Linked DNA regions of Pelodiscus sinensis. The protein of the gene in region 2 interacts with the protein of the main gene of each other region in a biochemical or structural test. Links are inferred from orthologs where the notes say so. Each region holds a gene or a part of one and is shown on either strand. Other genes may lie near its edges.

Region 1 (3,746 bases), on a different chromosome or scaffold from region 2:
AGCCTCTGTGCCATGAGCCACAAACATTTATGGAACTGAAAAATTATTCCTCCTTTAGATCCCAGTATATAACTGCTATTAATAAGGCTCTTTGGGAATGCAACTTGACTGACTCTGGCCCCGGTGAATATGCTGGCCCCCAGAAATTTTATAGTGCTGAATGAACAAACCAGCATTTGCTGACTGTAGATTTGCCAGGTGTCCGGTTTTGAACTGGACAGTCCAGTATTTGAGCTTTCTGTTCGGGAAACAAATTGAGAAAATATAAATGTCTGGTATCATATATATAGTAGCCCAGTGTCTGAGAGTCTGTAACGCCAAAATGCTGGCTGTTCCCTCTGGGGGGCGCTGTTGCCTGAAATGCTGGCTGTTCCCTCTGGGTGGCCCGTGCTGCATGGGGAGTGCAGGGCCCAAACGGCCTCTTGCACCATTTGCTCCCTCACGGTGGCCCGGCTGAGCGGCGCAGAAGTCAGCCGAGCACCACAGTGGGAGGCGAAGGGGGGTGGGGCGGTGACGTGCGGCGTGACAGCAGCTCCAGGCCCTGCCCCCTGCCCGTGAATGTCACCGCCCCGCCCCCTTTCACCTCCCGCCGTGGCGCTCGGCTGACTTCTGCGCTGGTCAGCCAGGCCGCCTTGTGGGAGCAAGTGGCGCAAGCGGCCATTTGGGCTCCATGCCCCCCATGCAGCACGGGGAGTACGAAGCCCAAACGGCCATTTGGGCTCCACGGTCCCCCGAGTGAAAAGCAGGAGGGGGAGGAGAGCTGAAAGAGAGAGAGGGTGAGGCAGTAGGAGGAGGAGGAGAGAGAGAGAGAGAGAGAGAGAGACGGAACGAGAGACCGGAGGCTCAGGAGAGACCTGAAAATCCCGTCTTATGACGGGCCAATTGGCTAGTTTTCTAACTAAGATGTAATGTCGATGGTGATGTAACGTCAAGTGTGTCCGGTATTTTTGTTGAAACCATCTGGCAACCCTAGCTGGCTGATCGAGTGCTGAACGCCCTCCCCTTTAAAGAGGTTGGAGGGTGGCAGAATGCATGGACATTTGGCTACCAGCAACATAGGTTCCTGCTGCCCTAAGCTCGTTTAGACCAGCCCCGTAGAAAGTGCTGGGTGGCATAATCTAGGGATGCAATTTGAGTCCCAATACCTCCTGCGCATAGCACTTTGGGACCTCCTCCCACCACTGCACTGGGCCCTAGAGGGCAGCAAAGACCCCTCCCCCCCTGCCCTGTATACGTCTCCTCTTAAGAGGCCTGGGGAGTTTGTTCACCCCTCCCTCTCTCCAGCCAGTGTGTTGGATCACCCGGGCCCCTCCTCCCCGCACCATCCAATGGTTCCTTCCTATGCCTTCCCTGCCGAACACACCCACTTCCCAGCGCATGGTGTCGCCCTCCCTCCTGGCCGGTTGAGCACACACCTTCCCTTCCGCCCCTGCCCCGCCCCCTTCGCCCTGTGATTGGCTGCGGCGGGTGGCGCGAGCCGGCCAATCGGCGGCGGCCGCTCGCGGCCGTGTCGCTGGGCAGAACAAAACAAAAACAAACAGGGCAGCGCAGGGGGCAGCGCGAGGCCGGCGGCGGCTGTGGGGAGCGGAGCGGCGGGGACCGCTGCTGCCTACGGTAACGGGAGCCCCGCCCCCCCGCGCGCAGGGGGCTCCTCGCCCCTCCCCAGGAGCCTCCTCAGGCGGGAAATTCGTGGGATCCCCCCCGGGGGGGGAGGGTCTGGGCTCCACGACCCTCCTGGCCGGGGGGCGTGTGGGGTCCTTACCAGCTCTCCTCAGGGATGTGCCCCCCCGGGAGCCGGGCGCATCCTTGGTGTGCCCCCCCTCTTCGGGGTGAGGGGGTGGGGTCCCTGGGGGTGCCCCCCTCTGTGGGGTGGAGTCCTTGGGGGTGCCCCCCTCTGTGGGGTGAGGGGGTGGGGTCCTTGGTGGGGTTGGTGCCCCCCCTCTGCAGGGTGAGGGGATGGGATCCTTGGGGGTGCCCCCCTCTGTGGGGTGGAGTCCTTGGGGGTGCCCCCCTTTTGTGGGGTGAGGGGATGGGGTCCTTGGGGGTCCCCCCTCTGCGGGGTGGGGTCCTTGGGGGTGCCCCCCCTCTGTGGGGTGAGGGCGTGGGGTCCTTGGGGGTGTCCCCCCTCTGTGGGGTGGAGTCCTTGGGGGTGCCCCCCTTTTGTGGGGTGAGGGGATGGGATCCTTGGGGGTGCCCCCCCTCTGTGGGATGGAGTCCTTGGGGGTGCCCCCCTTTTGTGGGGTGAGGGGATGGGGTCCTTGGGGGTCCCCCCCTCTGCGGGGTGGGGTCCTTGGGGGTGCCCCCCCTCTGTGGGGTGAGGGCGTGGGGTCCTTGGGGGTGTCCCCCCTCTGTGGGGTGGAGTCCTTGGGGGTGCCCCCCTTTGCGGGGTGAGGGGATGGGGTCCTTGGTGGGGTTGGTGCCCCCCCCTGCAGGGAATGGGGGTGGGGGATTCTTCATGCCCCCTCTCCTCCCTACCCCCCAGCGGGGGCGGATGGTGGTGTGGGGTCTTTCCCCCTCCCTTCTTCCGTCCCCCAGTTAAAAGCCCCTTCTGCGGAGCAGCGCCTGGTCTTCAGCCTAAGGATGCCATCGCTGGCATTTGTGGGGAAGGGGTGACACTCTGGTCCCCAGTCTGGCTGGGTGAGGATACAGTGACAGCCGGGCTGTCCCCAAACAGCGCTAGGATTGAAGTGGTTATCGGGGAGGAGGGAGCCTGCTTTACTTCTGTATAGGAAAGCTGCCGGTTCCTACTTTTAGGGTGTTAGTACCTTGGCAAAAGGTTTATATTTTGACCCCCCACCAAGCTGTAAAGTCACTTTCTTTCTTGTAAAGCTGCACCTTTAAAAACAAAACTGACTTGCCACATCTGTATTAAAACCACTTCCGTTGTTATTTCTGATACTTTAAAGTGTGTGCTTTAAGACCTGTGTGTGGAGGTTTGGTGTATGTTTAATCTTTTCTGAATAATGTTTGAGGCTGTTTATACACTCATATAAAACTAGCACTGAGCATTTATATAGAGCATTCTGTGCTGTAAAAGAGTGTGTATATACATGTAAACATCAGATGGAAACTGATCCTTTTACAGTACCATGGTGAGCAGCACATGGCCACAAACAAATTCTGCTGTGATGCTGTTTTCACAAGTCCACAAACTGGAAATATGAACATTTCAGGCTGTAGATTGTCTTACTTGGCCTCTACTGAAAGGGAGAAAAATCATGGGAAGTTCAAGCCACATTTCTTTGCTTCTTTTTAAATGTGACTGCATCACAGTGGCTGAAGTTTTAAAAACATTGTATGGCATTAAGGATTAGAACCTTTACTTGAAGTTGGGTAAGGTGGAAATACAGTTCGAAAAGTGAATGCATGCTCAAAGATTTTTCAATCTAGAAATTTTTGGTTGAAGGTGATCATGAGATACTTACTTGACCATGAGTGTAGTGTAAATACCTACATATATAGAAATATCTCATTCAAACATGCAGGACTGAGAATGATCCAGAAAAGCTCCTTGTCCATCAGAAACCAGAGAAAGTAATGGAGTTGAGAAAAAAACTAAAAATCACACCTCTTTCCAAAACAAAGGCCCCAGGATCCTTTTTTGAATTTGCAGTATTTTACAATATTCTGCAAATTCTTTTATTTTATTCTCCCCCCCCCCCCCCCCGCTTATGTACACCTGTTATCTTGTCTACCCCCAGATAGTGAGCTCTCCAGAGCAGGGACTTCCGTGTTTTTTCATGTAG
Region 2 (3,746 bases):
CATGTTATTTCCACAGAATCAGAGGTCTGTCTAGTCTAGCTCCCTGCAACTTGCTAGCAGCCACTAATACCACTCATAACATTTAATAAAAGTAGACAGAGTGAAAAGTAAAGCACCATGTGCCTATTTAAATAATGACTGAAACATACAAAAAATAACAGAAGTTGGAACCAGAAGTGAGTTTGTATTCAATGTCAATCCTTTGCACCTACTGCATTCTCCATTGGATTTCCACCTTTCTCCTAATTCCCATGTGACTAAATCAATTGTCACAATACCATGACATTGCTCTGTATCTTTCAACTTAAATCACTCAGAAGACTTTTTAAAGTGCTCTTCAAGTGACATGTGTCAAAATGAGGAATCTACCTCAAGTTTTGGGAAAAGTGGTAATGCATTTGTACACTATTCCACAGGTCATAGCAGCAGAGACAGAGAAAGCTAATGGTCAGTGCAAGAACTCTTGGGTTCTGTTCCCCCTCTGATATGCATTGTATGACCTTAGCAAATCACATAAATGTTGTATTCCTGAGTTTTCAAATCTGCAGTGTAGTTATATTATTTATCTACCTCCAGACATATAGTAACATTTGATTAATTACTATTTATGAAGCACTCTGAAGTGACCAGTGAGAGAGTTCTATATAGTGGAAAGTAAAGTAATAATAATATGCACACTATAAAAGTGAAGTGCTTCTATTCTGGAGCCGAAGGGTACGTCTACACAACACCCTTACCTCGAAATAAGCTACGCAATTTGCACTACGCAAATTGCATAGCTTATTTCATACTTATTTCGAAACAGCTTATTTTGAAATTTGTCGCTGTCTACACAGCACCAAATTTCAAAATAAAGCGCTATTACGAAATGTCCCTTAACCCTCATGCAATGAGGTTTACAGAGATGTCGGAATAGCGAGTCCATTATATTTCGATATAATGGGCTTACTCTTAAGACGTGGAATAGTTATTTCGGGATACTGAAATAGCTCCTCAGTATAGATGTAGCCTCAGAGTGCTTCCTGATGGCTGTTGGAATGGTTATTGAACAAAAGGAAGCTTTTCCTTAACCTACGTTAGCTTTATTTCCCTTCTACCACCAGCTTTCATGAAAAGACAACAGCTTCCTGCTTATGGCTTATTTAACCCAAACATTTCCTTTCCCAAACATTAGGCTCTATTAAAAAAAACCCAAACAACCCAAACATATCTATAGAAATGTTTTCTTTTCGTGATGCTCTTCTCACCTCTAATTTTTCCTGAGCAGCAGCTTGAGATGGACCCTGAGTTTGTAAACACATATTCATGTATTTAACTTTACTCACACAAGCAATCCCAGGGATACCAATGGAACTTTTACATGAGCAAAGTTAACCACATGCTTACATTACCATCAGAATAAATAGTTACAAATAAATTAGAGCTTTAACATTCTGATGAGAGCAGGTGAGGAAATGATTTCCCCTCTCCTGAAAAACTATTTTGGCAAAAAAAAAATCTTCAACTTATTTTTTTTTTAAACTTTAAAAAAAGTTGGGGGGAGGGTGTTTCAACAAAAAACCTGAAAACTTTCTACACCAATATTTTGTCATGAAAATGGACTTTGTCCAAAAAGCCACTTTCGCTGAAAATGGATATCACTGAAAAAATGGTCAACCAGCTCTAACTCTGCAGAACAAAGGTAAGACAAGGGGTTACCATCCCAACAGAGTCCCTTTGGCTGGGGATTGCCAAAGAGCAGCAGCAATGTGAGTTAGGTACCCGCTAATCATCCAAACCCACCCACTGCTCGGTTTTCCCATCCTGTTCCCTTGTTTTAGCCCTTTGCCCTCTTCACTCCCACGCGTTTTTCTTCTTCTTTGTCCCCCATCATTAGTGTGTGTCCTGGACTTAGCAAATCCTCCCCACAGGCTGGAGGAGGGTCCTTCGTGGACCCCGACAGGATCCAAACACACCTCGCCCAAGTGCCCGGCGCTGAGCAGCTCCAAGCCTCGAGAGGAACCTTGGGCTGCCCGGGGGAGTGACACCAGAGGGCTGGCAAAGTCAGGGGGCAGAGGGGGCCCTGGCAAGCAGCAGCCCCCCCCCCCGCCCCAGAACCAGGCGGGGGAACAAACACCCCTTTTCCCTAGAGCACCAGACCCTCCTTCCGCCAGCCCGCGCTCCACAAGGCTCCCGCCGGCAGGCAGGGGTGAGTCTGCGGCCCCCGGCCCGGGAGGGGGGCAGGGCCCGGGCCGTGCACCCCCGCGCTGGGGGCCCCGGCTAGCCCGGGGGGGGGGGCCTGCCACCCTCAGGCACAAGGGACGCGGCGGGGAGCCCCCCCGCCCAGCCCCGGTACCTCGCGCGCGGGGGGTCCCTGCCTCGGGAGCCTCTCGGTGGGGCGCGGAGCCGCCTCCTGCGCCGCCGGCCACCCGGGCTCGAGCTGGCGGCAGCGGCGCCGGAGCGGGCGGGAGGGCGCGGAACGGGGCGGGGCGCAGCCTGACAGGCCGGGGCACTTCCTCAATCCCGGGAGGGGCGGGGGGCGGGGAATGGGGAGGGGGGGCGGCAATGGGGTGTGTGGGGGGAGGGGAAGGGTGAAAGAGTGAGGGGAAGGGGAGGAGAAGGCGGAGTGGGGGTGGAAATGTGAGGGGGAGGAAAATGGGGATGGGGAGGAGAAAGGGAGGGGGAGGGGAGATGAGACGTGGGAGGGGGAGGAGAGATGGGTGAGAGTGGGGGTGGCAATGGGTTGTGTGAGGGGAGGGGAAGGGTGAAAGTGAGGGGAAGGGGAGGAGAAGGCGGAGTGGGAATGTGAGGGGGAGGAAAATGGGGATGGGGAGGAGAAGGGGAGGGGAGAGGGAGGGCACATGGGACATGGAGGTGGGAGGGGAAGGAGAGATGGGTGAGAGTGGGGGTGGCAATGGGTTGTGTGAGGGGAGGGGAAGGGTGAAAGTGAGAGGAAGGGGAGGAGAAGGCGGAGTGGGAGTGGGAATGTGAGGGAGAGGAAAATGGGGATGGGGAGGAGAAATGGAGGGGAGGGGAGGGAGAGGGGAGATGAGACATGGGAGTGGGAGGGGGAGGAGAGATGGGTGAGAGTGGGGGTGACAATGGGGTGTGTGGGGGGAGAGGAAGGGTGAAAGAGTGAGGGGAGGGGGAGGAAAATGGGGATGGGGAGGAGAAATCGAGGTGAGGGGGGAGGGGATGACAATGGGGTGTGTGAGGGGAGGAAAAAGGGGAGTGAGGATGGGGAGGTGAAATGGGAGAAGGGGAGGGGGTGAGAGAGCAGGGGTGTAAGGGGAGAGGGGAAGGGTGAAGGAGTGAGGAGAGGAGAAGAGAAAAGGGGACTGTGGGTGGAAATGTGAGAGGAGAGGGAGAATGGGGATGGGAAGGAGAAATAGGAGGGAGGACAGGGGAGGGGGGAAGAGAAATGAGAGGGGTGGGGTGAGTGCTATGGAAGTAGGTGAGAAGAGAACTGGCAGGAGGAGGAGGAGGAGAGAGGGGGGTGTGGGTAAAGGCCAGAGGAGAGCTGAAGGGAGGGGGAGGGCTAGGTGAAGGGTGTGGAAGGGGTGTGAGGAGTAAGGATGTTAAGAGGTGGGTAATCCACCAATCATGTAGTTAATAACATTTTTAATCAACTACAGGATTAGTCGATAAGGGAAGGCTTCCTCAGTTCTGGCTCACACTAGGTCCCAGACCTACTTGCTACGGCTCTGCTGTTTAAATGTAGTAGGAGCCAGGCTGCCTGCACACCTGGCTCCTACATTTTAACTGCA

The links. The genes of interacting proteins can lie anywhere in the genome.
Region 1: the proteins of LRRK1 (region 2) and PDCD4 form a complex in vitro, tested with the Homo sapiens proteins (2 studies listed by BioGRID and IntAct, with this or other methods). The link is inferred for Pelodiscus sinensis from reciprocal best matches to the Homo sapiens genes LRRK1 and PDCD4.

Annotation. Positions count from the first base shown.
Region 1 is NC_134718.1:66,934,938-66,938,683, reverse strand, and holds the start of PDCD4 (programmed cell death protein 4), read left to right. Parts: upstream 1-1,458; 5' UTR 1,459-1,614; intron 1,615-3,746. UniProt on the Homo sapiens protein: Inhibits translation initiation and cap-dependent translation. May excert its function by hindering the interaction between EIF4A1 and EIF4G. Inhibits the helicase activity of EIF4A. Modulates the activation of JUN kinase.
Region 2 is NC_134724.1:7,440,555-7,444,300, forward strand, and holds the start of LRRK1 (leucine-rich repeat serine/threonine-protein kinase 1), read right to left. Parts: upstream 2,492-3,746; 5' UTR 2,336-2,491; intron 2,198-2,335; exon of another isoform or gene 1,956-2,197; intron 1,381-1,955; exon of another isoform or gene 1,248-1,380; intron 1-1,247.